Arabidopsis thaliana: one gene and its partners. The protein of the gene in region 2 interacts with the protein of the main gene of each other region in a pairwise test. Each region holds a gene or a part of one and is shown on either strand. Other genes may lie near its edges. The genes, in order: AT1G60670, RL3 and AT2G44360.

Evidence for each region.
Region 1: the proteins of RL3 (region 2) and AT1G60670 interact in a two-hybrid assay, tested with the Arabidopsis thaliana proteins (one large-scale study listed by BioGRID).
Region 3: the proteins of RL3 (region 2) and AT2G44360 interact in a two-hybrid assay, tested with the Arabidopsis thaliana proteins (one large-scale study listed by BioGRID).

The regions. Positions count from the first base shown.
Region 1 is NC_003070.9:22,337,671-22,350,531, reverse strand, and holds AT1G60670 (hypothetical protein (DUF3755)), read right to left. Parts: upstream 6,948-12,861; 5' UTR 6,592-6,947; intron 6,468-6,591; 5' UTR 6,434-6,467; coding exon 6,231-6,433; intron 5,898-6,230; coding exon 5,798-5,897; intron 4,934-5,797; coding exon 4,877-4,933; intron 4,715-4,876; coding exon 4,609-4,714; intron 4,276-4,608; coding exon 4,193-4,275; intron 3,993-4,192; coding exon 3,931-3,992; coding exon of another isoform or gene 3,897-3,930; intron 3,816-3,896; coding exon 3,719-3,815; coding exon of another isoform or gene 3,662-3,718; exon of another isoform or gene 3,486-3,661; intron 3,449-3,485; coding exon 3,392-3,448; 3' UTR 2,908-3,391; downstream 1-2,907. Other genes in the region: AT1G60690 (NAD(P)-linked oxidoreductase superfamily protein), read left to right, coding at 1-25, 100-202, 302-640; AT1G60680 (NAD(P)-linked oxidoreductase superfamily protein), read left to right, coding at 1,296-1,517, 1,655-1,858, 1,948-2,120, 2,198-2,300, 2,370-2,708; CB5LP (cytochrome B5-like protein), read left to right, coding at 7,578-7,943; AtRZ-1b (RNA-binding (RRM/RBD/RNP motifs) family protein with retrovirus zinc finger-like domain-containing protein), read right to left, coding at 8,384-8,627, 8,718-9,226, 10,318-10,443; AT1G60640 (stress response protein), read left to right, coding at 11,019-11,196, 11,294-11,529, 11,679-11,765, 11,849-11,914, 12,006-12,065, 12,148-12,213, 12,299-12,358, 12,458-12,523 and 2 more.
Region 2 is NC_003075.7:17,248,585-17,259,081, forward strand, and holds RL3 (RAD-like 3), read left to right. Parts: upstream 1-5,705; 5' UTR 5,706-6,075; coding exon 6,076-6,252; 3' UTR 6,253-6,345; intron 6,346-7,002; 3' UTR 7,003-7,178; downstream 7,179-10,497. Other genes in the region: AT4G36560 (uncharacterized protein), read left to right, coding at 4,073-4,405; AT4G36580 (AAA-type ATPase family protein), read left to right, coding at 9,374-9,652, 9,803-9,898, 10,006-10,116, 10,210-10,497. UniProt on the Arabidopsis thaliana protein: Probable transcription factor.
Region 3 is NC_003071.7:18,317,953-18,327,943, forward strand, and holds AT2G44360 (ecotropic viral integration site protein), read right to left. Parts: upstream 3,745-9,991; 5' UTR 3,633-3,744; coding exon 3,573-3,632; intron 3,335-3,572; coding exon 3,227-3,334; intron 3,143-3,226; coding exon 2,903-3,142; 3' UTR 2,780-2,902; downstream 1-2,779. Other genes in the region: ATCS (Citrate synthase family protein), read left to right, coding at 114-196, 325-374, 454-531, 676-804, 939-981, 1,073-1,159, 1,327-1,428, 1,777-1,884 and 4 more; AT2G44370 (Cysteine/Histidine-rich C1 domain family protein), read right to left, coding at 4,150-4,902; AT2G44380 (Cysteine/Histidine-rich C1 domain family protein), read right to left, coding at 5,638-6,381; AT2G44390 (Cysteine/Histidine-rich C1 domain family protein), read right to left, coding at 7,859-8,339, 8,451-8,599; AT2G44400 (Cysteine/Histidine-rich C1 domain family protein), read left to right, coding at 9,144-9,584.

The DNA of each region.
Region 1 (12,861 bases), on a different chromosome or scaffold from region 2:
AAGAAGAAATTGTCCCAACCTGCAGGTATGCAGATTTCATCATCCTTTCATGATGCATAAATCCATCAATTATGTAACGTCTTGTCTTCCTTTCTTCAGGGAACTTGGAATTGGGATTGTTTCTTACAGTCCTCTAGGAAGAGGTTTCTTTGCATCAGGACCTAAGCTTGTTGAGAACCTAGACAATAATGACTTCAGAAAGGCAAGTGCAGAGGCTTTTTGGATGACTTGTTTGATTGATGAACCTTACATAACCTGTGGATAAATCAAATGATTTTATATATAAACTCAATTATTGCAGGCTCTACCAAGATTCCAACAGGAAAACTTGGATCACAACAAGATTCTCTATGAGAAAGTTTCTGCAATGTCTGAGAAGAAAGGGTGCACTCCCGCACAACTAGCCCTCGCTTGGGTTCACCACCAGGGAGATGATGTTTGTCCCATTCCAGGAACCACTAAGATTGAAAACCTCAACCAGAACATTAGAGCTTTATCAGTGAAACTCACTCCTGAAGAGATGTCTGAGCTTGAGACCATTGCCCAACCAGAGTCTGTGAAAGGAGAAAGATACATGGCCACAGTGCCAACCTTCAAAAACTCCGACACTCCACCATTGTCTTCTTGGAATGCTGTGTAAAACTGTCTGAGAGTTTCTCTGGCCAAAGGATGATTTATGTATAGAATATGTTATTTTCTTCTACCCATCTTATATATACGGTGACCATTCTCTGTATAGTCTTAGTGACCTATCGCCATCAGCATGAGTTAAGCGTCCCAGCTGACTTAGGTTTAGAGTTTAGGCACCTAATGGCTAATGCCAATGATGAGTCCTCCCATCATATTTGAACATTTTACCATTAGTTAGAGCCAATGATCTGGAACCTGCCTACAAGCTTCCAATGAGACAAACTATAGGTGACACAAATTGTAGATAGAAACATGAAGACCAAACACTACCTAATAAGACAAACCTTGCCTACTCAAGAAGATCGACATTACTCATTGACTCAAGACCATGAAAGAAAACAAATATCGATTACGTGAAGACTACTGAACACAAATTGATGACACATCTTTGAAGAAATATCACTTAAACACGTACGTAGTTTTTTGTTTTTGGTTAAATCTCATGTAAGAAAGATATTTTGTAAAAGCACTTTTGTAAAAGACATAGGCAATTTGAGAGTTTTTTTAATCACACCACTCATCAACCCAACTTCAACAACTACTCCACTCAGTTCTAAACTCTACAAAAGAGAGAAAGAGAGAAAGCGAGTTGTGACATAAAATCCATGGCTGAAGCTTGCAGAGTTAGGAGGATGAAGCTAGGAAGCCAAGGCCTTGAGGTATCTGCGCAAGGCCTTGGCTGCATGGCCCTCTCCGCTCGATACGGTGCTCCCAAGCCGGAAACTGACGCCATCGCTCTCCTCCACCATGCTATTAACTCCGGTGTTACTTTCTTTGACACCTCTGACATGTATGGTCCTGAAACCAACGAGTTGCTCCTCGGAAAGGTTCGAGTTTATCTTGTTTTGTTCGAAAGAGTGATCAAGATACTTTAGTTTGTTCTGTTTCTTGATTCTATGGTACTAACTTAGACCACAACAAGATTTTGTATGAGAAAGTTTGTTGCAATTCATTTTCTTGTCAGGCTCTGAAAGATGGGGTGAAGGAGAAAGTGGAGCTTGCGACCAAATTTGGATTCTTTATAGTAGAGGGGGAAATTTCTGAGGTAAGAGGAGATCCTGAGTATGTAAGGGCAGCGTGTGAGGCTAGTTTAAAGAGGCTAGATATTGCCTGCATTGATCTTTATTATCAGCATCGAATCGATACTCGTGTCCCTATCGAAATCACTGTAAGCCTCCTCCACAATCCTGCTTCATGTCATGGTTTCAATGTTTCCAAGTTGGCTCTGAAAATGATTCTTTGTCTCTGAATTCCAAGATGAGAGAACTGAAGAAGCTAGTTGAAGAGGGTAAGATAAAGTATATTGGTCTGTCAGAAGCTTCAGCTTCAACTATCAGAAGAGCACATGCTGTTCACCCGATAACTGCGGTGCAAATAGAATGGTCCTTATGGTCGAGAGACGCGGAAGAAGATATCATTCCTATCTGCAGGTGTGAAGAATCAAAATCAGATATAACTTTCCTCTTTGTTTACATGTTTGGTTAACATTTCGTTTATGCTTCACCAGGGAACTTGGGATTGGAATCGTAGCTTATAGCCCTCTAGGAAGAGGCTTCTTAGCAGCAGGACCCAAACTTGCTGAGAATCTGGAAAACGATGACTTCAGAAAGGCAACTACTGTTATTTGCATTAAAACACATGATTAATATACTGTACTAATTTGTGTTTCTTTATTGCAGACTCTACCAAGATTCCAACAAGAAAACGTAGACCACAACAAGATTCTCTTTGAGAAAGTTTCTGCAATGGCTGAGAAGAAAGGGTGCACTCCAGCACAACTAGCCTTAGCATGGGTTCATCACCAGGGAGATGATGTTTGCCCCATTCCAGGAACCACTAAGATTGAAAACCTCAACCAGAACATTAGAGCTTTGTCAGTAAAACTCACTCCTGAAGAAATATCTGAGCTCGACTCCCTTGCCAAACCAGAGTCTGTGAAAGGAGAAAGATACATGGCCTCAATGTCCACCTTCAAGAACTCCAACACTCCACCGTTGTCTTCCTGGAAAGCCACTTAAAACCGCATGAGAGTTTCTCTAGCTAAACCTACTAAAATTAATATGCTAAGGGCTTGTGTAAGCCCACAAAAATAATATGTAAGAGTTTGTGTTGATGTTCAGAGTGTTCAATGTATAATTTTCTATGCATTTCATATACTGCGACCAACCTCTAAATCTAAAACATCACCTTTTCAACCATTTAGAAAAATTTAATACATGGAAAAAGAGGAGCCATACCATATGGTAGCTGATTTGAAGATAAGATTTGAAGAATGAAAATGCCTCTGAAAACCAAACCTTACAAAGATGTGTTCTTGATACAAACTTTAAAGTAACTCTCATTTAAAACCTTACAGAAACAGCTAATCTATACAACCAACTTTTAACATGGATCTGTGCAACGAATTCATATCTTGGATTGACCGCCAAAGCATTTTGGCAACGGAAAAATAATCAGTTATGGAGACGTGAAAGGATTTGTAAAAGGGGTTTTTGGCTAGCCTGCGGTTCATTGTTAATATTAGCCGACAGCACAAAGGGTTCCACAAGATCCCATCTTCTTCAATCCTGTGTTTTGCAAGAGGTTTAGCAGTTGACAAAACCATCATCTTTCATGTGGGTCACGGTGAACAGCTGCCATTTACCAGAGGTTTCTTGTGCTAGTTCCTTTAGCATTGGTCAAAATCCAGTTTCCTCCCCCATCAGTTTCTTGGCTCCTGCTTCAGATAGATGCTCGAGGGAATGGTATAAGATCTCGGCTGAGAGACAGACAGATAAAAAATTATATTTTACCATCAAACATTGTGTTTCCATCATTCACCAGATTTAAAGCAATGTTCTTGTACAAGATCATAGTTCCCTAAAATACTAGAAGCCGATTTTTAGGGGTTATGGAAGTCCTATGATTTGAAGCGATTAGACATTTTTTCATGAAACAGAGGCAAATTTGGTAAGGGAAGCATTTGAGGTTTTTAATCCCTTACATATTCAGGAATATCCACGTTCAGAGAAAATGCAAGATTGCTTACCTGTGTGGCACTTGTCACTAAACTGCTTGCAAGATCATTGTTAATTGAGACAGGCAGAGGCGGCATCCGGCTGATGATCCCAGGCATCTCCTTCATGCTGCAGTAATAATAAGTAAAGAGTATAGTAAATCAAGCTTTCATAGACGAGAAGGTGAAGGACAACAGAGGAAATGTATCATTAGTGATTCAACCATGCTATTAGATCCACATACTCATTCAAGATGGCACTGATGTTATTTCTTGCCATATAAAACAGACTGACGTTATCCTGTGGCTGTATGCAGAAAATAGGATGTCAGGATGGGAATTCCATTACGAAAGGACAACAGCATGTATCCCAACCAAACAATAAGTTGCATTGAATAAAACATTGTGCATGTGAAAAATACATTCTACGATCTTTTTAAAGTCAATTTTCTGCTAATGCAATCTTTTTCTACCAGCTAGCATTTGGATCAGATACAAATCAATTACCTTGCACACAGAAAGGTTTGAGGAGATTTGACTGAAAGCTTGAGCATTCTGCCGTAGACGCTCCATAACCGCATCACTTAGACCTAGGAGAATAAAAGTTTGGAAAATATATATGAGACCGTAAAAATGTGACAGGTGAGAAAAAGGTATCAAGCTAACAAGATTGAGTTTTCTTGGCACAACTAAGGAGATGAGACAATAACTGAGAGAGTCCAGGAACTCTCCAACATCGATAATGCCTATATTCAGGCATGAACAAGATGAACAACAAATTGCCTAGTACATTTGATTGAGATTTCAAACAAGATGCAGTTTGTCTTTCTAAAATAATCTTTCTTTACAGTTACAACCTTTGCAGGAGAGGGAAGGAAATAATACCGACAATACTGTTACGGTGTTACCCAAATAGTACTAACCTTCAAAAGGCATGCGTGCACTCTGGCACATATGGTTCATGGCATATGTAGCATTTTGTTGTGGCTCAGTTGAGAACATGTTCAGTTTTGGGGGTAAATCCACTACCTAAATCAAGGAGAAATCAGTTACTTGTGTGTTGGGTATCTCAAGGAGAACAAATTTGTAGCTGTTTTGAACAAAAAACCATTTGTAGCCAATAACCTCTTGTAAAGCGAACTATAACCTAGGCCACCAACCGTTATCTGGTTATTTACTAACATTACATACCTTTCTATAACTAACCTTCGTGCCAGTACTATGTTCTTCCCCTTTTCTTCGCTTTTGCTGAAAAAAAGGATTTCAATCTTAGCCCAGACAAACTCAAAAGTCATGAATTTAAATAGTTGAAAGATATTAGATAGCAAACTGGCAGTTATTATTAATGTTAAAAAGGCCCCGTGTCAAGACTTATGTTTGTATGAGTCATATATCTGCTTGTACAACTCAAGTCATAAAAAATCTATCTATTTCTTCAGCCCAACTTCATAAAAAAAATATGACAGGATAGATAGTATGGATAAGCCAATAAGGTAATATTTGGCACTATAATCTGTCAACTTTTTTCCCCCATTTATTATATGAATCTTAACACTACAGTGTAGGCCATACTGCAGAGGATATAACCAATGTTTAACCATCGCTCATAGAAATCTTATCCTTCATAAAAAGTAACATATCAAAATAAACTTCAGAAAGTCGAAAAAAGCCCAAGGCTATCTGACATCACTCGTTTGGCGATATTAGTTTCAGGGTAACTACAGAAATCAAATCAAGCTTTAGGGTCAAATCAAGTTCCAACATGACTCCAGAGCTAACAGAAAGCCAGATCTATCGTCAGCAATACTTGTTATTACTCTCCTTGCACACTCTTAACCATACTTTAAACAACCTTTATGATATGGTAAGGTGTCTTTTCATCAATATAGCAATAGAACTTTAAGCCTACCTTATAGCCAAAAAAATATAAAAGAACTTTTCCCATAGGACTTTATCTTTAACAAAGCATACACCCAAAGTAGCGTCACTATGTTTTTCCTCCTTTTTTCATCTCCCAAGCTAAATGACGTTACCAAGATCTCTTTGAATAACAACTAATAAGAAGTCTGCAAGCCACTTATGAAACTTAATGACAATGCATTGGGAACTTACCGTCATCCATTTACATCTCATTGCTACATCCCGTACACTTTTATCTGGTAGAGTTGCTGCGATCTTTACATACTTTGTAACTTGTGGTTCATCTTTAAATCTACAAAAGACATGACAAAGGTTTTAGGCAAACAAAACAATAAAAGACAAACTCGAAACAACATAAAACAGCGCAAGGTAAGAAACTAACACAGAGAAAAACTCAGCCATCTTTCGTAGAAATTTTCTGATACAAAATACATCTATAAGAATCTGAATCAGCTTATGATTCCAGATAACAACACGAGCTATAACAGTTCATATGAAACATAAATGCAAAACCTTTTCCTTCATCTACATATAAAAATTTATCTACTCTAACATTGTATAATAGCTACGAAGTGAGAAAATTTGCAGAGAACGAAGAACAATGGAGAATAACAAAAATACTTACTTTGAAAGACCTTTCTCCAATATATATTGTTCCTCAACAGACCAATCAACAGCCAAAGAAGCTTCATGTTTGAGTCCAGTAACCGAAGTCGGAGAATTTACAGTAAGATGAAATCCAGAAGAAGCATTCATGCTCGAAGTCGCCGAAAACACTAAACCGGTCGTGCTAGTACTCGGTACGCAATAATTATCCATCGGAATCATCACTCAAAAGCTATTTCGTAGAGATTAAGTTGACCTACAACGAAGCACGCCCAAAAACATGTTCAATTTAGGGTTTTAGCAATTTCAGAATCATACGGAAAAAAATCCGATTAAAACCCAACAGAAACCTAAAAGAGCAAAACCTGAGCAAAACCCACCTCGGATTTAGCCAAAATAGAAGATGAGTATGCTTCTCCGTAGCTCGATAGATGGCGTCGATGCAAAAACCCTAAACCCCCAACGATTGGTGATGAAAGTAGAGATACTGAAATCGTGAAGCTACAAAATTCAGAGAGATCGCAATAGAGAAGAAGAAGATTGAAGAATCGTGATTCGATTCGCGAGAGAGTGGTGACAGCAAGATGATGCGAAGAACTTTCGAATTGCAGAAGCTGGCGAGGAGAGAGAGAGAGAAAATGGTGGTTTTGTTTTGTAATGGTTTTTATTCTATTAAGAAACAGAACCACTTTTTATTCCATTGTGGTGGTTTTGCTTTTTTGTTTTTGTCTAGTCCACTCTTTGAAGAAAGATGGTTTGTTCCTCCTTATTTTTTTAAACTTTTACTCAATTTTTGTGAATTACACAGTCACCTACACTTTGGAAATTCAGATATTTAAATTACAACAAGGTATTATAAATCATAAAGTTTGGTATCCATTTCACTAAGTGACATTTGTTTTTTTTGTTTTTTTTTACATGTCTTATGTGAGTTATGAATAATTAAATTTGTTTCAAACTTTTACATGTGTAATTTTATGATAAATCTTTTATTTACTTATATACCTAAATAATCAAGTTGAATTTGTGCATAGACAAAAATGAGACATCAAATTAGTTAATCGATAATAGTAGGATTCGCCGGGGAGAAGGAGAAAAAAAATTAGATGCATGGGTCTCAGGTTCGAGTAATAACCAAAATAACTACAACTTCATTTTTGCATAGACGTGGAGATGCTTTTTGGTTAGAAACCTCGACAACCACTAACGAAGATGAGGACAATGAAAACGTTGTGTTTTGACTTTTATGCCCCTCTAAACCCTAAATTCAATAATTTGGGTCGTCACTCGTCAGCAAGCTGGATCTAATCCACCACTCTCTCCAATTGTCATTCACTCCGGTTTTGCTATTTCCAAGGAGAGAAAGATGATAGCTGTGATCGGATTGCTTCTGGGTTTTCTAGTATCAGCATTGTTCTTAATCCAAGGAAAGCGAAGAAGAACAAACGACAATCAAGAGAAGAAGAGATCTAGCAGTGAGCCTGTAGAAGATGTGGTAAGACCAAAAAGTTACAGCAAGAGTGAAGTCGCAGTACATAACAAAAGGAACGATTGTTGGATCATAATCAAAGATAAAGTCTATGATATTACTTCTTATGTTGAAGAACATCCTGGTGGTGACGCTATTCTTGATCATGCTGGTGATGATTCTACTGATGGCTTCTTCGGACCTCAACACGCCACTCGTGTTTTCGACATGATTGAAGATTTCTACATCGGGGAACTTCATTAGTAAAAGCTTAAAGATTTGAGATTTGATTGAAGATTTGAGATTTCTTCTTAAGTAAGCTTAAAGATGGCTTTTTTAATTCTCTTCTCATTGAAGATTTGAGATTGCATTACCTTTTTGTCTTGCTAGTGTAACACTTCTTCTTCCATTGTATTGCCAAAGTTTCCTCCTTTCTCTTAATTTTCATGGTGAAGCTATGCTCTGTTTCAAGTGTTCTATGCTTAACTCTGTCTCAAGTGTTTTAAATCCATCAATTTTGAGTTTAATCTATTGAATTGCTTTATGGGAATCAATAGGATCATAAGAACATAACTTTTTTACTGCGATGAAGAATCATAATATTCGACAAAAAAGCATAACAGAGATCTCGAGTTCGAGTTCTATCTCTGATATAGACCTAAATCCCAAAGCATAAGCATTGACATCTGGTTAACCAAAACAAACTACCAACGTTCATATGATGAAGGTCTGCCTCCAGGACGGCTAGGACGGTCATAAGGACCTGGTCTGCTTCTGTAGGGTCTTCCCTCATCGCGTATCGGTCCCATATCTCCATATCTGTCACTTGTATCCCTTGCGTATCTGTCCCTGTCATAGCTTCTCTCTCTCCCGCGATATTCATTCTCAAGATGATGTTCAGGCATCCCATACCTATCACTCACAAAACGGTCTCCTGGTGGTGCGTATCTACATTGTTAATACATCAAAAGGTCATGACTTTCCTAAAAGAACACATGTTGGAACATTTATTTAGACCTGAGGACAAGAGCTACAAACCTCTCAAATGGATAGTGATCACGAGGCTCATACTTGTCTCCACTGTCGAAGCGGTCCCTGTAGCTATATCGTCCCCCATCTCGGTCACGGCGTCCATCCATGTAGCGGTCAAACTCACGCTCCCGCTCCCGCTCCCTCTCCAGATCACGATCTCCATAGCGATCTCGGTGTCCATCTATGTCTCCAATACGAGAGCGCATCGCAAGGGGAACTCTGAACCGTTCTCGATCGTCACCAGTTGATGGGCAATCTCGAGCCCAATGACCAGGGCGTCTGCATTTAAAGCACTCATCCTCGGTTCCCTTCCCTCGAGATGAATAGCCTCCACCTTTCTTTAATTGGTCTACATCTTCTCCACCAACTTTGGGCTCAGCTTTGTTCACGGAGATGACCTTATTGCCCAACTCCCTTCCATGCATGTGCTTAATTGCATCATCAGCTCCTCTGCGATCAGTGAATGTAATAAACCCAAAACCACGTGGACGCCCAGTATCTCTCCCCACCATAATCTACAAGTACGCAAAGAAGACCAATAATGTTATTAAAATGCATATTGAGCCAGGAACAAGATATATTACTAAGAACCAGATGTTACATTAGAGTTAAGAAATAAGCAGATGTATTACATTCCTATCTCTCATATAGCATGTCCTAGAAGTGGCAAACTCAGAACATTTACAAGCAAACAGAAGACGGTAGCAAGATTCACAAATTTACTTCATTTCAAGTCCTTAGAATCACACAACACAAAGTCAAACTACAGCTGCATACTTGTAGAAATACTAATCCACAAGAAGTATCACCACAACAATAATCCTAGCAAAACGATGTTGGAGATTAGCCTCTAGCCAACCATACTTTTAACCCTTACAACAGACCTGTTACCTCAAATCAGTTTCCCACAACAAATCCACAGGAATGCGTTTTCCATGCTAATTCCACTAAAAAAGAAGACTAATATTCTGATCAAGACCTAAAAAAGAAGACTAATATTCTGATCAAGACCATTTTTGACCAGAAACTTATCATCTTGGTGTATTGATAGACTACTTAGAGATGCTTACATGTGCCAATAACTGTACTTTTACAATTACAACAACTAGTGGCTCATGATGAATGAGTACAAGAAAACCATCTCAGTGACTACTAAAGCAGATACCACAGGCAAGAGAATAAAAGATGGTTAGTCCTGATTGGTGTCAAAACCACTGAAAAGAGAGCTCAGCTGCAATTTAATCATAATATCCAACAAAACACAGTGACGTCAAACCAAAATTACTGCACTGATGCTGAGACAAGAGCCATGATCTATCTCAAAACTCTTGCATTTCTAAACATACGGCTCTCAAACAGATTTTCAGATCAAGAGGAGGTTGAGATGCATGTTTACTTCCTAAGAAAGCTCTACTAATTCCTCGACTGCATCCTTCAACAAGTCAATAAACCTCAATATCTGTGTGTGCTCTTCTACAGAATAGATGAGTCTTAGGTTCATCAAACAAAACTATCCTACAATCTCAGAGGTATCATTCACTAAACACAGGTTTCAAAACGAGTCTCTGAGACTTCTGATCATAAAGTACGAGAATCGATACAAGACCTGACACTCAGTGATTTTCCCGTAGCGGTCAAAGGTACTCTCAAGCTGTCTCTCTGTGACATCCCACGATAACCCTCCCACGAAGATTCTGCTCTCAAGATTTCCATCGTTTTCTCTATCTTTCATTGTGAAACTCTCACTGAAACCAAAAACGCATAAACATAGTTAGCCCACAAAATCAAACTCGAAAAATCAAAGCGAAACTCCAACTCTTACTTAAACAACTCAAAAAAATTCTATTGAAACAAAGATTCGGGTCAATAAACTTGCTGAAATCCGAAGTAAGAAAAAGAAACCCTAGAAATTTCGATATGATAAACCCTAATTACTCACCGCTAATCCAAAGGTCAGACCTTTCTGCGGTTTTGGCGATTGGTGATGGACAATGAAATAACTGCAGAGGATTAACTTCAACTCAATAAGTATATTTATTGGGATAAAATGTTGTCCACTCAATGACTAAAACACCCTTATAAAAGTTACTTAATTTACAAAAATAACCTAAAAACCCTAAAACCCTTCTCTTTAGCAAAGCTTTCCCCTTTTCAGTCTCCAAGCTCTCTTCTGCGGAACTCACGGTACGAAAGTCTCCTCTTTTCTATTTACTTTAATCCGAAGTTTGCTCCTTTACTTTTGATTTGTTGGAGAATTTCGAATTCTAAATTTGGGTTTTGTCTCTGTAGAGTAAACACGAAGTAAAAATGATAAAGAGACGATTTTACAAGCTTGAGCATGGTGATAAAGACAGTGGATCCGATTCATCGTGCTTCTCTTCTGACTCTGATCCTGAGACGGAAGAATCAGAACAATCTGAAGAAGAAGACTCTGTTGCAGAAGTTTCCGAGGACGGTGATGATTCAGGAGATGATGAATCCCCAGGTTTGCTTCTTCAATTGAGCAATTATCTCTTTTAGTTCTCTTGTGATTGTACTCTCAGAGAACCTTTGGTAAAATCTTTGCTTATTCTCTGTTATAGCTGCTGGCGAAGACGCTGATGTTGATGATGGTGATGATAACTCTGATGCTGATGACTATGGTGGGACATTGGAGAAGATGTCAATGAATCGTTTTTTAGAAGAACCACCCGAAGAAGAGGAAGAGAACTATATTCTCGGTTGTATGATACAATCCAAATCGGTTTATAAATGCAGATATTGTCCAACCGTTGTTTGCTTGAATGAGAACACAATGCAAGCACATGTTTCATCAAAGGTAAATTAGGTAGCTTTGAATTAGCATTTGAGTGTTTGGTCCTTTTTGGAATCAAGTAGTAGATGATAAGCACGGGATTAGTTTTGAGCTTTTCCTCATCAGTCTTGTAGTTGATGAGATAGTATTTTTTGTCGTTTGACTCATTTCAGAAGCATGCTCGTATGGAGAAATTAGTGAAAGAAGGAAAGATTAGAACTGATGACGAAGAAGTTGACGATCTAGAGACAGCATCTCAGGTTACATTAGAGAATTTGCCAACGAGTGCTTTTTGTTTTGTCAATGAGTCCTAACCAAATTCTTGCACAAATCTTAAATGTAGGAGAAGGAGAAAAAAGGAAACAGAAGATCACAAAGACAGGGAAAGAGATCTCAAAAACAGGAAAAGGTAAATGTAGCTTGCTCAATACTGAAGCATTGTGACCATGGTTGGTTTGTTGGAAACCTAATTGATTCGTGTTTTCAATATAAACGTCTAGGATTCATTGACCAAAAATGGAGAAAACGAAGAAGTTGAAGATCCAGAGACGCCATCTCAGGTGAGATTTAAGACAATGCCATCAAATGCTTGTGTTAGTCCAATGAGTCCTAACCAAAGTCTTGCAAATATCCTAAATGTAGGAGAAGCAGATAAAAGGAAACAGAAGAGCTCGGAGAGAGCTTAGGAGATCACAAAAACAGGAAAAGGTAAAATTTGCCTGCTCTATAACCCTGTGACCATGGTTGACCTGTCAAAAACCTTATCTATTCGTTTCTTAATATGAACATCCAGGATTCATCGACCAAACATGGAGAAAACGAAGAGGTTGACAATTCAGGGACGCCATCTCAGGTTTTTCTTTTTGACGTTCGAGCAAATGTCAACAAGTGCTTTGTGTTCTTCCCATGAGTCATTTACTCAACCAAATTCTTGCAAAACTACTAAATGTAGGGGAAGCAGATAAAAGAAAACAGTAGAGCACGAAGACAGCGTAAGAGATTAGAAAAACAGGGAAAGGTAAAAGTAGCCTGCTCATTACTGTAACCTTGTGACGATGGATGGTTTGTCTGAAACCTTATTGATTCGTCTTTTTAATATGAACATCCAGGGTTCATTAACCAAACATGGAGAAAACGAAGAAGTTGACAATCCAGAGACACCATCACAGGTTTTCTTTTTGAATTCTAGCAAATGCAAACAAGTGCTTTGTTATTCTTCCGCTGAGACCTAACAAATTGTTTCAAAAATCTTAATTTTAGGAGAAGCAGATAAAAGGAAACAGTAGCTCACGAAGACAGCTTAAGAGATCAGAAAAACAGGAAAAGGTAAATAGCCTGCTCATAATTGTATCCTTG
Region 2 (10,497 bases):
GCGTCTACGTCACCGTGTTTATTTTTAAGAGTGCCGTGTCAAGCGCAGACTAAATTGAAAGGACGAGGTCTGAGTGCTCGTTATGGTCTTAGGTCAATTACATATCCAACAAATTCTAATGTTTTTTGTAGTAATTATTTTGACATCTCTTTTTATTCCTTTTTTAAATGGAAGAAAATTTAATCTTTTGAATAAAAGTCTTCCTTGCTTCTTTGGTTTTTTTAATAATCATGATTAGAGTTTGTTAAAAACTAATGATTTTAAACCATTCTTTCTAATGGAGATTGATAGTGACGTAACTAAGATTGTTTTATTCTTGAATTTTTCAGTAAAAGACATTGACTATAGTTTTGGTTAAGTTAGTTGATCTTTTTCATGAAATTGTGATTTTAATTATACACATGGTAGAGTAGGGATTAATTCTAATTATCAAAATATGAAATAATGATTTCAATTATAAACATGGTAGAGTAGGGATTAATGCTAATTATCAAAAAGATGAACTCCACCTTAATTTCTGTCTATTATTCTAAAAAAATTGTTTACTTAAAATGATGATGTTAGTATTAATTAAAATGATGTTAGATGACGTTCCAAGTAATTCTTACCATTTTTATTGTCAAAACAATTACTTCGCTGACCTGTATTTAATTGTGAATGTAAAATAATACATTTGACATCATACATGTGGATTATTTCATTTTAAATTACCATTTTTTTGTTTATTGGATCGCATATTGGTCAAATTTTGGGTCCTCGCGTGGGTCCAGTCCAGACGAAAAGACTGCGTTATCACCAAAAGATTTTAATCAAAATTACCTACAGAAATCTAATCTGAATAAAAAAAACTGTAAATGGTGATCAAAACCGCACCCAAAACCGTACCGCAACAGTGCTATAACAGTATTAAAATCTCTATTTATACATATGTATTTATGTATTTTCGTTAATATTTAAACCGTACCGCATTTTTTCCGCACTGTAAAACGCAGTCACCGTTCGGAGTCTGAGAATGCTAATCTCTAGTAGAAAGAAACTAATCAACAATGCAACATGTTATGTCGCGTTTTTTTTGGTGTTAAAGTTTTCTGTTGTGCCCAACAATTTCACTTAAAAAGTTTATATTCAAACAGACATTTCTGGAAAAAATAAACATGTATAGAAGAGAGAGTGTAGTAGTCACATCACACGCCATTAGCTAGAGAGAGGGACGGAATACTTTCTTTTCTTGTGACCACATCCTTCGCAAACGCAAATTATCAACAATGTATAAAGACTTGTTCGTCTCCATTTGTTGACTGGTCCATCTTTTATTCTTCTTTCACTCGCTAAAAAATCTAATAGAGTATCTTTTCTAAAAGAAGCCAAAGAATGGGAGAAGATTTCTTAATGATGATATTATAGAAGAAATATTCAAGCATGGAAAGTTCAAAAGAGTGTTATCTGGCTTTATCTAGATCTAAATTAGATAATAGTGCTACTATTGACGACACACTTGATGTAAAATATTGTTAGTTGTTGGTAGTAGATATCATGGGTTAAAGATTTAATTTGATTTTTGTTTCTTAAGTGTGTTTTAAAAAATAGCATGGGTGTTTTTGTTTTCTTTTTTTGAAATGGAAAATGATAAAGGTGTGTCGTAATATGGACACAACATCAATGTCCATATGTGAAGCCCAAGATGACTCGTCATTGGCCAAATTAATCAGAAAACGAGTCAAATGGTTTTGTTGTGATGTGAACTGTTTTAGGGTTATAAACTCCTTCATTGGCCAAATCAAATAAAAGCTTCAAGCTTGATTGTGATGTAAACTGCTTGAGGGTTTAATTAGGCTTACTGACCAAATCACTAAATTATTTAAGTTTTAGGTAAATTTTTGTTGTCATTTTGTTATTGGCCAAATGAATAGGTACCTACTCATTGACAAGTGAAAGCTACTCTCAGTCTCACAACAAGTACACTTCTTGATTAATTGTGAATGACTTTAGATAATACATCAACATAATTTTTTGATGTTTTTCACCCACATGATAATCAAAATTGAAAATTTTCCAAGTTTTGGTAAGGCACGCGTTTAGAGTAGGTGGTAGACCTGTTTAGATTCAGTAGATGTATAGGTTAGATGAAAGTACATCTTACGCTAAACCTGTTTGTTAGATGCCTTTTATAGTTTTATAGAACAATATTAAGCATCTTCTTATTTTTATACTATATGATAACGTAGTACTAAAAACCATAACGTAACTACCTGTATATTATCAAGAAAAAGGCACATTTAAGGGGGAAAATAGTTCTTTTTAAACTAGTGGCAGCTACAAGGCCCATGACAAGTTAATGATCAATGGATCTCAAGCCCACTAATAGTATTAGATTAATAGATAATTAATGGACCGTATGAAATTTCTTAATTGCCAAGTTGATGAAACAGCTATAAATAGAAAATTCGATGATTTGGTGATTTTTTTTAAAATATAACAAACAGATTGATTAATAGAAAATTGTGTGGTTTTATGTATAATAATACTTTTCACAATCTTTTCTTTTCTTCATATAAACAAAACAGTCAAAAGAAGAATTTATGAAATTGTTAACAAATTTATAGCCATGGCCGGAAAGTTGGATTGAGCCCAAAATTTTGATTAGTCTTCGATGCAAATGTAATCACCAAGAGATATTTTCTTAGGAATTATGTTAGCTCTTTTCCAATCTTATAACATCATGTAGTGTTTTTTGGTTATCCCTATTCGGATAGTTCGAGATATTTTTCTTTGGTCAACTTTTTTTTTTCTCAAACTTTCATCCGCATTAAACTTTTTGTAACGCACATATTCACTTACGTCATCCCAATCGAATTTTCAATATTATACATGGAAGCAAAATTTAAGTGAATAAGTTTGATTATTACGATTAACGCAGTCATATCATCCTAAACGAATTTACAATATTATACATGGAAACAAAATTTATTAAGTGAATAGTTTGATTATTACGATTAACGCAGTCATATCATCCTACTTTTCAACTCTAATCGTATATATATACGATTACTACATTTCCGTTACGTAAAAAGAAAAAAAATTAACAAAAAAAGTAACACGAAAATAAAATTATTACATGTATCCAGATTTTTTTCGTGTATTCAAAAATGATTTGGCGGCTTTTACTTTTTACTTACAATATTGCAGCCAAAATAGTCGTCTCCGGACAATTACGTGCAGTGTCAGGAGGCAAAATGAATTATTTTTGTAATACTACATTGTATTTTATCCCCAAAAACAGAAGTTAAGGTTCTGATGTTTATGATGACATCAAAATACGTGGATTCGGGAACATATATGGTAATTAAACAATGGAAATTTCATTTGCATGCATTTAATTTGTGCCCCCATAATAACGCCACCATGAGATTTCTTTATATTTAACCTCGAAAAGAAGTAATTAAGAGCATCTTCGAAACGTCAAATGAGGTCCACTTCAAAAGGATCAGGTAAGATCGGAATCTAATCAAATAAAGAAGAAAAGAGAATTTGTCCCCCCTATGGACTGAGACAACAACAATATTATTAGTCCCGTCATTAGATAGGGAGGTAGTACTATTAGTCCATACTGTAATATATATACAGTATTAGGAACCCCACATTATACGTAAAAAATATCCGCAAATGCATTGTTAATTGAGTACGTTGAACATTGACATATAGGTTAAATGGGTATAGGGTAAAACCCCATATATGGCCTGTTCAAATAATGAAATCGTTATCAAAATCACTGGAAAAAGCAAGTTTTTCGTTCTTAAGAAATCATAATAAACCTAACTGATCAAACCCAACGTAATCTCAACGTATTTTGGGTACAAATTTGCTATAAGAAATCACATGACTAGCCAAAAGCGGACATAGAAACAACTTATTCATACAAAACTTGGAAGCAGGAATAGTTTAGACGTTCGTAATGGAAGAGTAATGAATGTGAGTGCTTAGCATAAGCAATGAAGGCGTAGACGTGAAGTTACGGATCCAAATGGAAGAGTCCAAAGAAATATTCCAAGAAGGCAAGTTGTTGAGTGGGAAGATGAAGTTGAAAGGAGATGAGTATCTGCCAAAAGAATGTTTTATCACAAAGCTTAGAATAGAGACCAAAAGGGTACTACGAGAGCTGATATTTTTAAACTTTTTGGAGAAGAAATACAGTCCATATCTTCATCTTTTTGTTATTTTATATCTTATAATAATAAGTACAATAAAACATAGCGAGTGGAGAGGGATCAGAGTAGTTAAACAATTAATGTCCAAAACAAAGGAGCAGAAGAAGCGTAGGAAAGGCGCAGATGTCGTCGATAAAATTCATCTACGAGATCTTCCCAAGATTTGGAATTTGTCCACTTGTATTGCCACTCAATGTTAAATAAGAGAGAAATATAAACAAGAACACCTGAATATCCTCGAAAAGGTGCTGTTTTTTTTCTTTTCTTTTTTTCGTTTGTGTCATGCATTACTAAACCAAAGCTAAATATGCATCTCGTATATGAACAAACTAAACACACACACAAAAAAAAAAAAAAAAAAAACACTTTGTTGGAGTGTCTTTGTAAAAGTACTTAATTTATATCTTACGCTTGTGTATATCTTTAGAATTACTATCATTAAAATATCTTTTAAGGGTTATACACAAAAATAATTCTGTTAAGTTTTAATAAAGTTGCAAACAAATAATATGACAAGTATTGACAATTTTTCGTACAGAACTGTTTCAACTCATTCTCCGGATTTTATGTATATAAAATTAATTTTTAATTAAGCATTAGAAAACATTTTGAAATAGAACAATTTCTAGAATTTTATCTCCATGCTTTACAGTTTTATATCCACGTTAATTTTTTTTATGCATGCGCCAAACGGAGTACATCTTTAAAAAGGAGTGGTATGCAACAAAAGTAGCTGCTCAAGTTTACTATAAGGTTTAAATCAGCCAATCTTCTTAGCCCATTTTAAGAAAAGAATGACAAAGCAAATATTCCTATACCTATAAAAGATAAATATTGACTAATTTGATGACGAATTAATCAATAATACTATAACCTAACAAGGTTCGGTTCTTATCATCTTATGGTTGCCAAAGAATGTTTTTGTGATCACGGTCCAGAGGATTACATGTTTAGGGGCTAATCTTTCATTATTAATTAAGCCAAATCACTTCTTAGTACTACTCTGATATTTGTCTTCTCATTGGAAGGAATATAATTTAAAGCTAAAGAGCATCAAGCCATGTAAAGAGTTTGATGATATTCACTAATAAGGGTTGCATGCACGAGTTTCTGTTCTTATCAACAGATGCTCAACACGAGCCAAATGTATAAAAGAGATCACTCAGATAATTCTATTACCAAATTTGCTATAAGAGCCATGAGACAAGAATGGCAAGAATCGACGAAGTGGGATTGTGTTTTATTTTTATGACATTACCAAATGACTTCGACTATATATGGCATCTACGAAAAGACATATCATCACTAACCTATCCATCATAAACAGATATTTGATATTTCCAATCAAAATGGATGGAGATCAAAAGAAGCATCAAACATAATCTAACAATGTCATGTGTTTATAATAAGCATCCGATACTACGGTCTAGTGATGACTAGATCTATACAAGAGCCTTAAAGAGGTAAGGGAAGGTCCACAAACATGCATGGGTTACTGACTTAGTCGTTTACTGTACGGAAATATAGTAGCAATTAATACAAAAGAAAAACGGGGAAGAAAACATCTTATATTTCTCTATTGCAAGGTCAAGGAATCTCAAGTTTCATTGGATTGTTTCACAATTGTGTGTACCTTCTCTAAGACTTTATGTGGTTGCTAAAAGAAATAGTCACTCTCTTAAAGTATATATTCTTCCAACTGGCTTAACCCCACACCATGCTTTTTCCTCCTACTTATAAGGAGCTTCTCCTTCTCTTAGCTAACCAAATCAACTCCTTTTTTATCAAGTCATAGATACATCTTCCTTCTTATTTTTTTCTCCCTCCCAAGAAGCAGATCTTGTACTCTCGATATACATACTTATTTTATATGGCTTCCAACTCAATGAGCTCTAGCGCTTCTTGGACACGTAAGGAGAACAAATTATTTGAAAGGGCGTTGGCTACATATGACCAGGACACTCCTGACCGTTGGCATAACGTTGCAAGAGCCGTTGGCGGCAAATCAGCTGAAGAAGTAAGGCGACACTACGAGCCTCCTCATTAGGGATGTCAATGACATTGAGTCAGGGCGTTATCCACATCCCAATTACCGTTCAAATGGAAACAACCACTGAAAGCATTAAAGGAACTCCAAAAGGTAAACAGAATATCACAACAATTATCCATAAGAAAGCATTCATAAATAATAGACATGCACTCTCCAGTTTCTTATGCGTGTCTTCTTGTTTCACCAGGCCAGAGAAAAAAAAAATCTAGCTTTATGATATAGTAAACACCACCGTTTCCCATATCTATGAACTGTCCCAACTTCTAACTGTGGGGCCAAAAGCAATCTAGTAACAGAGAATTCAAAAGTTAGTTTTGTCAAGTTCTTGAAATTGATCATTAGCCCATTAGCTCTATATATATATATAAAAAGTCATAGACGCAAAAAGCCATTTCCTGGTGAAAAGATGAAAAGCTTCCATCCATCTTTTTATATGTCTTTTAGCAAACAAAAATCAAAGTCCCACATAGTGATAGGCTGATAGCATGTTCCATGTTTCTTGTCTTTACCATTGCAAAAACTACTCCACTTACATAGATAGTATTTTGCCCCCAAAAAACAAAAACATAAATAGTATAACGTAACCCCCTTCTCTACTAACTTTTGGTTAGCCTATAGTTAAAGTTCAGAATTATTAAAATTGCTAAATTTGTGTAACAAGATTATCTAGCTGATTTCTTCATTTTGATATCTACATCTTTTTAGTCTTTTGAAGTAGTTAACTCATCTGGATTTTATGTCTTGCAGGCTCTACTGAAGTGGACATGGTTCCAAAACCATTCACAAAGCACATCTAAGCAAAGATATCTAAATGTATTTACTTGTTTTTGTGTTACGAATATGTAAGAATTATCTAAATCAATCAATGTGGTTTCATATAGTATAAAGTATTAACAATCGGACAAACTATAGTTCTCCTTGAATTCCATCCATACACAAATCTTTACAAATCGATCTAAGTCTAACAAACAAGATCGATAGGCCAAATATCAAAACTCCTGAAAAAACGATTCAGAACATGTTTTGATTCACTTTTGCACTCATCTCGTCGTTTTGGCGCGTAGCCTGATGAGAATCTCCATGAACATTGTAATTTGAGGAAATTTGATACGGTTTCGCAGAAAAATCAAGAGATCATCAAATAAAAGTAATAGAGTAGAAAATTGTGTATTTACTTACGGATAAATCAATACTGGATCGTTTAGTTCTCGTCAGATACCTCATATACACGCGTCTGTGTTTGGGGGGAAACTTTTTGCATGGGATGTAATTTGAATACAAACGGGCTAAAATCGACGGTGGTCATAACTATTGTCCCCGAAAATGTAGCGTTCTTATTTTGTTTTGTTTTTTTAACTTTCGTTGTCATATAAATATCATAGCTTTATTTATGGTTTTCGTTTATAATATTTGCGTTGATGAAAATTAAAACAACTACTATAACTAAGGAGAGTACATGCACTCATGCATGCATGCAAACACGGCATATCGTAAAATTGTAAATAAGCAAATTCATTTATCGTGTGTTTTTAAAACAAACAAAAAATGTTATTTTTATAAGATAAAACACTATTTTACAAGATATTATAATATTTTTATTTTTAAGTGATAAAGAGTAACAGAAACGATAGATTACCTATTACAATTTTTCTTAATACTAAATTTGAAAGTCAAGATGAGAGGTCCCTATTGAGCTATAAACTTTTTGTCAATTTGATTCATCTCGAGTATTATTCGTTTTGTGCAAAAAAATAATAAAAAAATACATTACATATACCTTTCTAAAAGAAAAGAAGAGCTCAAGAGGGGTATATATATTCTGTAATATGTTAGAGCACATGCCTTGTATACCGAAAAATTGCGACCCATATATGAACCATGACGGATAATTGGATTTATACAGTCCATATTAATAATTACAATTCGAATTCGTTTAAGAAAAAGAAAAGACAAACTATTATCTGTTTTTTTCTGAAAAAGAGAGACATTATTCTGTAATATTTTAAAGCACAAGTCTCGTATATATTCCTGGCACAAAATAGCGACCCATAGTCCCATACTAACAACAATGAAGAACTAAATAAATAAAAATTTGAAAACTAAAAAACCGTAAATGTCTTTCAGTTATTTATAGAAAATACTGCGTTCAAAATCGTTGCAAGTAGAACTAGACAAGAACTAACGTTTTTTTCAAAAAAAAGCATTAAACAAAAGATAATTTTACAGTCAAAGTGATTAAAGTTGTGGATTTTTTTATACGGTGCATGCATAACCATTTATTTCAACTTCGAACTTCATCTTTCAACTAAATGGATGAAATTACAATTATATAAAAAAAAAAATGTTTAGTTTAAAATTATGTAGTATAATTAAGTGGATTAGATTTGTACTTAAAAATATGACAAAAATAGTAGAATATAGCCGATATTTTAAACTTATAAAAATTTCAAGTACGTACGTTCGAATAATCCTTATATCCATAATCCACTAGCTCAAATGGTGTGTTTTTGTTTGATATTCCTGCGAGAATATACTAATCAGTATTTGGTCGTTTTAATAATTTGAATGTGGATTGTGGAATAATTTCTTCTAACTATATTAATTATCTGAAGAACAATTATCTTACGTACCCGTGATCTACACAAACGGAATCTTATAAATATATATCTTTCGTCGCTGAGTGGAGGAGAACAAAACTTAGCAAACTTCAAACATTTTTTTAAAAACCAAAATTTTACACTAATGGTTTAGTCGTGGTTCGAGTTAAGAAAAAAAAGAATCTGTTTAGAACATGGCCCAATAATAGTTCCTATGAAAATATGCTTTTTGATTATTCTCCAAGCAATAATAAGCCCAATTATATTTAGGCCCAGATCTGCTTTTTGATTATTCTCCAAGCAAAGTAAACTTATACGGTCGAGATTTTATTATCATTTTATTTTTTGTCCTTTTGAAAAATACCGTTTAAACCCTAAAAGCTAGCTGCCACCGTGGGTTTATGGTCGGCAAAACCCAGAAATCGACCATCATTCACCGTCAATTTCCCAACTTTCATGAACCTTTAGCTCTATTTCTCAATCTCTGAATAAGGGTCAATCTTTTCTTTTTATCAAAATCGATGGCTGCTTCTAGATTGTGTTCCGCGGCGGCGATAGCTGCTGCGTTCACTTCAATGTCAATGTCTCAGAACCGTGCTTACGCCGATTCTTCTCGATTCCGGTTTCCTTTCTTTTCTTCTTCTCCTTCTCCTCCTCCGTCAGATTCTCCGGCGAATCAATCTTCATCGAAGTCTAAAGCAGAGCCTGATGAGCCTAAAGGATCGGGTTTTGATCCTGAGGCTCTTGAGAGAGCTGCTAAAGCTCTTAGAGATATCAATAGCTCTCCCCATTCCAAGCAGGTGACCCTTCATATCTATTTAGGGAATGAAATTAGGATTTAGCAAAAATGGTATGAAAAAATTGGATTTTGATCTGTGGAGATTGGTCTTTTGGTGATTGCAGAATTGGGGTTTCTTCTTAGCTTATTGGGTTCTTGGTTTTTCAATTAGGTGTTTGATCTCATGAGGAAGCAGGAGAAAACTCGGTTAGCTGAATTAACGGCAGAGACTTCTCATTACGAAGCTATTCAAGCACACAATGATATTGTGAGTAAACTTGAATTTTCCATTTTTTCTGCCATTTTTTTTTATCTGATTCTTGACATGATTGCAAAGTAATATGATTTGTTTTATGGGGCATTTGAAATGGGCAGGGCAGACAGCAGAAATTGGCTGAGGACCAGAGAAATCTTTTGCAGACACAGGCGCAAACCAAAGCGCAAAATCTGCGATATGAGGATGAATTGGCCAGAAAGAGACAGCAGGTTATTCTTTTTTTCTTATGTGTTCTCGTAGATGGATTAATCTTTCTGAAGTATAAAAATCTTACAAATGATTTTGGTTTGGGAGTAATGTAGACAGATCATGAAGCTCAGAGGCATCATAATGTGGAATTGGTTAAGATGCAAGAGGCGTCTTCTATCAGGAAAGAGAAGGCAAAAATCGCCACAGAAGAACAGATCCAAGCTCAGCATCGCCAAACTGAGAAAGAGAGAGCTGAACTTGAGCGAGAGACGATTCGTGTCAAGGCCATGGCTGAAGCTGAAGGTCGGGCTCATGAAGCCAAACTTACTGAAGAGCAAAACAGAAGATTGCTTATGGAAAGGATTAATGGTGAAAGAGAGAAGTGGCTTGCTGCAATCAAC
Region 3 (9,991 bases), on a different chromosome or scaffold from region 2:
AAACTTGTTTGACATCAATGCTTACAAGAAATTGCTTAACAGAAATGAAATAAATTTGTGGGTTTTGTGTTATACTTTCATTCATTCTTAACTTGTATCCAATTTTTATACAGATTATGTGTACAATGCCATCGATGCTCTGCCTTCCACAGCTCATCCAATGACTCAATTTGCTAGCGGTGTTATGGCCCTCCAGGTGTGGTTCTCTAAACTCGTATTGTTGTTTCTGTTCTTCTTGTGATAAGCGTTGGAAACTTATTGTTTTTTTTGGCTATAAGTAAACAATTTTCAGCAGAATGATAATTTTCTTTACCTAATATCCAGGTGCAAAGTGAGTTTCAAAAGGCATATGAGAATGGAATTCATAAGTCAAAGTATGCTTTTGGGGTTCTGATTTAGTTCATGATAGCGTTTCATATTAGCTGGCATCATAACAAAGATTTTTTCTTCCAGGTTCTGGGAGCCAACATATGAGGATTGCCTCAACCTGATTGCTCGTGTTCCTGTTGTAGCTGCATATGTTTATCGAAGGTTAGTGAAGACTCTTTTTGTACTCTTTTTCATGTTTCTTGTAGCTTCTGGATTTTCGGCAATGATTTTTTTTTTATTGGAAAATTTGCCATCTCTTGTTTTTGCTTTGTATTGACTGTTGACCTTTTCCATGCATCATTGCAGGATGTATAAGAATGGTGATTCCATTCCCTCAGATAAATCTTTGGATTATGGTGCAAATTTTTCCCACATGTTGGGATTTGATGATGAAAAGGTGAAAGAGCTCATGAGGCTTTACATCACCATCCACAGGTCTGTATTAATTTTCGTCACCCATGCATGTCTCCTTAAATAAGCTTAATTATCTTGTAAATTTGTTTGTTCTTTTTAAGACTTTAAATAGACCTTTGTATAACATTTTGCTTTTCTACTATTTTTTGCTCTAGTGATCATGAAGGTGGAAATGTTAGTGCTCACACTGGTCACCTGGTATGTATATACTCTCCATGTGTCAATTTTAAAGGATTGACCTACCTGAAGTTTCTAATGGTTCTTTTGCTAAAAATTCTTGTTCATGTAGGTTGGTAGTGCACTTTCAGACCCATATCTGTCATTTGCAGCTGCATTAAATGGTTTAGCTGGGCCACTCCATGGTTTGGCTAATCAGGTATCCTCCCTTGTCTATATCTTGAATAAGTCTTAAATCTTCAATCTACAATAGAGCTTCGTAAGTGGCTTTTTGTATTTTATCTAGGTAGGTTGTGATAGTTTGATGATACAACCATAAATTGGAGAAAACAAATTCTTAGTCTTTTTTTATTATTGTTTCAACAGGAAGTTTTGCTTTGGATCAAATCAGTCGTAGAGGAATGTGGAGAAGATATATCAAAAGAACAGTTGAAAGAATATGTTTGGAAAACATTAAACAGTGGCAAGGTAAAAACAGGAAATTCCTCTGCCTTGACATTCTTTACTTTCTGGTCTTGTACCTGAATCCCACTTTTGAAGCCAGCCAACAAGACTGATGGAGCATGCGAAAATGAATTAACATCTTGTCTACTAGTCATCATAATAGGCTAATATTTCAATTTATTGTGTGATACTGTTATGGGTCCTCTTATTTACGACCTCATAGTTTGGTCAGTTGCTCTAACTGCTCCTAGTAAGTAATACTGCCATAAGAGCTTTGGATCCTGTTTTTCCCTATCCTAGTTTACCTTGTGGATGTAATGTTACAAGGATAGTCTAATGATGATCTATTGACGAGTCTTGTTTTGTCTCTAGGTTATTCCGGGATATGGTCACGGTGTTCTGCGCAATACTGATCCAAGATATGTATGCCAAAGAGAATTTGCCTTGAAGCATCTACCTGACGACCCTCTTTTCCAGCTGGTACTTTTTTTCTTTCTCTTTTCTCTTTTCTGTTCGGTTCTCAAAATTCTATCAATGTTCAGTAGCTAACAAAATCCTTCCAACTCTGTAGGTGTCAAAGCTTTATGAAGTTGTGCCTCCTGTTCTCACTGAGCTTGGAAAGGTAGTATCTCTATCCTTCGTTTACCATGGTGATCCTTCAATATTCCACCAACAACTCCACAACACCTTACCTACATGCTAGGGGCTTATGAATCTCTTGCGAATCAATTTTTTATTTACTTGCGAATCCGATGATGGCTTGTTACAGGTGAAGAACCCGTGGCCAAATGTTGATGCTCACAGTGGGGTCTTGCTGAACCACTATGGTCTAACCGAAGCAAGGTAAGAAGTAGACACCTCCTTCAAGTATCATTGAGCCTTAGGATAGCACTCAAATATAATATCTGTGCGTTTTATAGGTACTACACCGTGCTCTTTGGTGTTTCAAGGAGTCTTGGCATCTGCTCTCAGGTAACATATATATATTTACACATTACGCCTTTGTTACTACATAACATTTAAAACAGAACTCATATGCTCTCCATTCTCATTTGTGTTTAATTCACAGCTTATATGGGACCGAGCTCTTGGACTTGCACTTGAGAGGCCAAAGAGTGTTACCATGGACTGGCTTGAAGCCCATTGTAAGAAAGCTTCATCTGCTTAAGTCACCACCGAGTCCTGAGTTGTCGCACTCTCTCGTGTTTCAACAAAAGTCATTCTCTTCCACACTGGATAGCTTTTTTTGTTTTTACCTTCTATTGACAGAAGAAACATTTGTTCATGTAGAAATTGTTCCTGAGAAACACATGCTTGGTGCAAATTTGCATTTCCGGGAAACTCGTGATAATAAATAAACAGTTGTATTCAGTTTGCGTAAAAATCAAACATCAATATCACTCATGAATTAAAGCTTATCTTGGTTTTGATATACATAAAAGAAACAAGACTGCAAAATAGAAAACTTCGACATGAGTTTATCAAAAAGAAAATGGGATTAAGAGCTGCTGGTATTGTCGGTAGTAGTCTCCTTGTTAGAAAGGTCATCATCATCAGCAAGAGAGGCTGTGAAGTTGAGTCTCTCTTCGGCGCCGGCAGTGATAACCGGCATCCAAACATCAGCTGTGCCGCTAAGAAGCGTCTGAACCTGTGGATCAGAAGCTATAGCTGATGATATCATCTCATCCACATCATCTAACTTTGCTGATAACTTGTCCAATTCCTTAGCTATCTCCACCTGAAAACACAAACAATCACACACAAAGCCTCAGATTTACATTACAATGTGTACCAGATATATGAGTGAACACAGGATACAGACCTCATTGAGGTGTTGAGCAGACTTTGATGGCACTTTAGTGACTTCTAAACCAAGAGCTTCAATCTTAGAACGTAGCTCAACCTCTTCTGTATTTGTCAATGATTCTACCTAAGAAACAAAAATCATCAGTAGGCAACAAAATCATCTGTATTTGTCAATGTTGTAGTAACAATTAGTGTCCATTAACAACAATATCAAAAAGCTCTTGCCCTTTTATTTTTTTGACGAATTAGACAGAAAAAGGGAAATTTGACGAATAGAAGCGGCTCGTAATTGAAACGAAAATCAAAATCAAGAGGAAACGAATTTCAACAGATCGTTAACGAATTAAAAAGAAAAGCGAAACCTGTTGAAGAAGACCCGAAAGAAGCTGAAAGAGCTGCTCGTCGGGTTTACCCTCCGCCATATCTCTCTGTGATCTCTCTTGAGTTATTTTATAATCAAAATAATCAATTTTAATTACTGCTCCTGAATTCTGAATTTCTGATGATGATGATGATTCCTTCGTGTGATCGTGTGATTTAAATCTGATACTACTAGTTTGGGTAAACAGACGACGAATCAACGAAGCGGCGCGTGTGAATCTCACGCGATAGTGTTTTTTTAATTGTTTGTTTTGTATCTCTGACGTGGTTTTTGACTTTTTGCTATTCGGCGGATCAACAATTAAATAATGATACAAATCTTTTTTTGGTTCTGTTTGGGTTTCTGAAGGTCAATGTTTATCATCGATTAGTGGTAATTTTCAACTTTATGTAATGATTAGAACAAATAAAGTCAAAAGGCTTTTTATTCAAAAGGAAAATAATTAACAAACATGAAAGCTTGCAACAACAATTCAATGAAAAAAGAACGTCCAAACAACAAAAGAGTTTCAAAGCATTAAGAATCCGAGATAACTTGATAGAAACGTAAACAAGTTTTTAGATCAACTTGAGACAAGCCTTTCTCGCTTTCTTAGCAATCTTAGCTCTTTGCATCTCCATATGTAACTCTATCTGCATCTTCTCCATCTCTCTTTGAGCTTCCAACATTGCAGCTAACTCCGATGCCGCTGAGCCCCTTCCTCCTTTATTCCCACCACTCTTTGTGTTTCCTCTTGCACTTCCTCCTCCTCTTTTTGGCTCTTCTTCTTCTGCTTCTTCTTCCTCTACCGCGCAAGAATGTAAATGCGTGCCATAATCACATTCCTTGCAATAATACGACCAGAGATTATCTGGAACAGTCTCTTGGCAAACATCACAGTTAAAGATCAAACCGTTCTGGTAAGGAGAACGGTAGAGCAATGTGAGTGGATGTGCGTGTCCTTCACGCTCCACGGACTCAGGCATGGACACACATCCAACATGAACATCGTACTGGCAGATAGAGCAGTTGTAAGTGAATCCGGATCCATACTCACCGCACGCATCACACGTGTAAGTTGACTCGTAAGGTGGGGAATACAGCAGTATCAAAGGGTGATCCGGGTGAGCCTTGTGACGAGTCTCACGTGGAAGCTCAAAACATGACTTGTGCAAGAAGTAATCGCATTCTGACTTTGTGCATTTGAAAGCTGCACCTATCAGGTCGAGGTCGCAACCAGAGCAAATGATCTCTTCTTCAACTTGGGCCTTGTGACTGCGCAATGGATGGTTGTGGCTCGGATGCCTCACCGACGGTTTTCTTGCGGCCATGATGGCTAATATCTTCTTCTTCTTTCTTCTTCTTTTTGTGTGTTTGTTATTGTTTTCGTGATTCTTATTAAGCTAAGGGATTTGAGAGTATATATTTATAGTAAAAATAGTAAGACGACTTTTGATAATGAGTCTTCTTTAGGGTGAAGTAGTGATGTGTTTTGGTTTGACTATTTTACCAAGTTGTGTAGCTTATATACTAACTATATTGGGACAAAAATGTCAGTACGCGCTTTGATGATGGTGAGATATATACAAGATTGATTCTCATTTGGAATTCAAAGTCAAGTGGTGGAATTATTCTTCATGATCCCATCCATCACGCCGTCTAGTTTTATTGTAACCTATAAATTATAAACTGATTCAATAGCTAATTGTAATTAAATAGTATTATAAACTTTTGAATTATCATATATATGAACAATAGAGTTGACATAATGAAGGATATGAGGTCAATTACGCTGGGTCTCTAGTTAATGCATAATATTGTCTTCAAGTAATCTAAAGAAACAAACTCGAAATTACGATTTTATTATGTGGAAAATGTATATAACGTCATCTATAATTAACTTCTATATTAGGGTACAGAGATTGACTTGGATAGTTGAGAAAAATACTTACAACATATCACACGAGAAAACAAAATTTTCAAAAGAAAGAACAATCACAAGCTTCATTATTATTATTCAAAATAAAATAAAATCATTGTATCAAATTGATCACTCGTTTATTCGATCAATAATAATATCTCCGCTTTGGACTATCCCATAAATCGAGTATAGCATTATTAGTGTCGTTTCTAATACGTGCCTCGAGCTGTAACGCCGCCATCTCATCTTGAGCCTTCATCAACGATTTCATCCTTGAAACCGCAGAGCTCGCTTCTCCTTCTTCCCTACCTCCTCCTCTTTTCTCTGACTCATGATCTTCATAGACCGCGCAAGAATGCACATGCGTCCCATAATCACACTCTTTGCAGTAATAAACCCAAAGATTTTCCGACATTTTTTCTTCACAAACATCACATATGAACTTAGCACCGTCCTCACGACCTTTGCATGGTGTGTTGTAGAGAAGCGTGAGTGGGTGTTCGTGATCTTCGCGCTCCACGGTCTCAGGGATAAAAGCACATCCGACATGAACATCATATTGACATTCAGAACAATTGTAAGTGAAACCAGATCCGTACTCACCGCATGCGTCGCATGTGTAAGACTGACCGTACGGTGGGGAATGAAGCAGGGTCAAAGAGTGGTTTGGGTGAGACTTGTGATTGGTTTCACGAGGTAGGTCGAAACATGACTTGTGCAAGAAGTAATCACAATCTGACTTCATACACTTGAAAGCTTGTCCGGTTAGCTCGAGCTCGCATCCAGAGCAAACGACCTCATCTTCGTCTCGAGCTTTAAAGACACGCAGCGGATGGTTGTGACTCGCGTGCCTCACGGATGGGCGATTAACAGGTTTTCTTGAAGCCATTGTGTATAGGATTGGTTGTTTCAGTGTAAGAAACGTTTAGAAAATATATATAGCAAAATATGTGGATGATTTGTCATTTCCATTTTCCGCTAAACAATTCTCAGTTTGGTTTTGATTATTCACCAAGTTGTAGTTTAATATATGGAAGACGGTTGACATTAGAGTTGCATAATCTTGGACACGTACGAAACAATCACCAGAGATAAGATTTAAAAATCTCCAATTTTGGTGATTGTTAGGAAATAGTGACAAAACTAGAATTCATCAATAATTGAGCTTCCCATATATAATTCAAGTGGATAAGGACTTGATCAAAGAATATAACCATTGACTTTCGAAGTCGTCGACTGAAAATGTAGATCCCACTGTTAACATTCACACGGTAGAATAAATGACTACCACAAAACAAAGTCTGCCAACAAATCAATCCAAGCCATTAATTTATATTCACATATACCAAATTACAAATAGCATTTTAGAACTTGCAAAATCTCTCTAATGAACCAGTAATTTGTGCAGCAAAAACAAAAACAACACAATGGGAAGGCCAAAACCGGAGGACTCAATTCGACATTTCAGTCATCCTCATATTTTGTTCCACTTATCTGTCAATCCTGAAGACCAATCTTTTTCATCTTTTTGTTTTGTGGTTTGCAAGCTAAAACTCCTAAATCTTCCTTCATACTCATGCAAACCTTGCAAATTCTACATCCACAGAAAATGTTCCGAGTTACCTCAAAAAATCAGACACCCTAACCATCTCTATCTAATCCCTTCTCCCAAATACCAAGAAGGGCGATTCCGCTGCGACGCTTGCGGGAAAGACGGTGATGGATTCGTTTACTGTGGAGATTTCGGAATCGATCTTCACACGGTTTGTGCCAACATGCTTTCTCGAGTCACCCACCAATCTCACCCTCACCACCAACTTTCTTTAACAATTTCCGTGCCACCCGGATCCGCTACTACATATTTTCGGAGACATTTTTAATAATAACATTAGCAGGAATTAGTATAAATCCAAAAAAAAAAAAAGATAGAAGAGATGCTACGGATTAAGGAATAACCAATAATGCAATGAAAGTATGGTAAAGAGAAGCAATGAAGAGTAAGGACAAATCACAACATTATATGCACGATTCAATGAAAATTTGTATATTATTTCCATAGCATTGCGAAAAAGTCGTAGAGTGGAAAGTGTTGGATCGACATCTCACGTTAGAAATTGCATAGCACATAACAAAGTTTTTCAGCCATCCATATTGTTGATCATCACTGTTCCTTACATATGTAAATGGTTAAATAGGCCAGTATATAACCACTCAGCTTGTTATTATACCATACATTTGTATAGCAATTAAAATAGAAAAGTATATGAATAACACTTACAAATTAAATAACTCACACGAAAAGGAAAAAAAAAAAAGTGAAAAACAATCACAAGCGTTTTCATTAAATTGATCATTCGTTCATTCAATCACCAATAATATCTCCGCTTTGGTTCAGCATATAAACCGAGTATAGCATTATTAGCGTCTCGCTTCATACGTGCCTCGAGCTGTACCGCCGCCAACTCATCCTCAGCCTTCATCAACGACTTCATCCTCGAAACCGCCGAGCTCATCGCTTCTCCTTCTTCTCCTCCTCTATTATTTGGCTCATCGTCTTCATAAACCGCGCAAGAATGCACATGCGTCCCATAATCACATTCTTTGCAATAATAAACCCATAGATTCTCCGACATATCTTCTTCACAAACATTACATATGAACATCGCACCGTCCTCACAGCCTTTGCATGGTGTATTGTAGAGAAGAGTGAGTGGGTGTTCGTGATCTTCCCGCTCCACGGTCTCCGGGATAAACGCACATCCGACATGAAGATCATATTGACATTCAGAACAATTGTAAGTGAATCCGGATCCGTACTCACCGCATGCATCACACGTGTAAGTCTCACTATATGGTGGGGAATGAAGCAAGGTTAAAGGGTGGTCAGGGTGAGACTTGTGACTGGTTTCACGGGGTAGCTAGAAACATGACTTGTGTAAGAAGTAATCGCAGTCTGACTTTATACACTTGAAAGCTTGTCCCGTTAGATCGAGCTCACATCCAGAGCAGACGACCTCATCTTCGTCTCGAGCTTTAAAGACACGCAGCGGATGGTTATGACTCGCATGCCTCACGGATGGGCGATTAACAGGTTTTTTTGAAGCCATTGTGTCTGAATTTGGTTAACAAGCGTTTAGAAACTATAAATATATAGCAAAATATGTAGATGACTTGTGATTTCTATTTTCATTAACATAATACATAGTTTGGTTTTGATTATTCACCAAGTTGTTGCTTAATATACATAACCTTTACAGAATATTGATAAAACAATAAAATTCGCCAGTAATTGTGCTTCCCATGTATAATTCATGTGGGTAACGACTAATAATCATTGACTTTCGAAGTCATCGCCTAAATAGTCCTCGAAAACAAAGTCACACGGTAACAAATGACTACCACAAAACAAAGTCTTCCAACATATCAAATCCAAGCGACTGAATTATTTTTATACCAAATTACTAATAGCATTTTAAAACTTACAAAAATTATCTAAACTAGTATAGTAAGAAGATATTTGTGCAGCAAACAAAAACAAAACAGTGGGAAGGCCAAAACCAGAGGACTCAATTCGACAGTTGAGTCATCCAACATCCATTGTTCCACTCATCTTTCAATCCTCAAGACCAATCTTCTTCATTTTTTTGTTGCATGATTTGCAAGCTAAAACTCCTAAGTCTTCCTTCATACTCATCCAAACCTTGCAATTTCTACATCCACCTAAAATGTTCCGAATTACCTCAAAAAATCAGACACCCTTTCGACAGAAACCATCTCCTCTCACTAATCTCTTCTCCCAAATACCAAGAAGGGCGATTCCGCTGCAACGCTTGCGGAAAAGACGGTGATAGATTGGCTTACCACTGTGGAGATTGCGGCATTGATCTTCACACGGTTTGTGCCAACATGCCTTCTCGAGTCACCCACCAATCTCACCCTCACCACCAACTTTCTTTAACCTTTTCCATGCCACCTGGCGGACCGGGATCTGCTGCGGCGTCTAGCTTCCAATGTTGCGTGTGCCGTGGTCTAGGGTCTAACTCGTGGCTCTACAGCTGCGGAGAGTGTAGTGGATTTGATGCTCATTTGTAATGTGCTAGAAGAAAATTAGCTACTTCAACAAATTTGGTCCATCATGTTGAAAACCGGAAGCAACCACAGTTTGTTGGTACGACGCCGTCTGTTAACGTTCCGGTTATTAATAATCCGTATCCTTTGATGTTGCCGACGATTACGAGTCCTATGATTAGACCGATGATTAATGAGATGATTAATAATCTTGTAACCAATAGGCCACAACCCACAAGATCCAAGCCAAGTCTCTCAACTTCATGAATTGCTAGGACCATTTTAGGAATGGGCAGTGGCGGACTGGTTGATGGATCCGTCGGTTTTCTTGGGTTTGATACGTCGGTTTTCACATCAGTTTTTTTTTTTTTTTTTTACTTTTTTTTTTTTTTTAAGAATGTTATTAATTTTTCATCATCCATTTTCATAGT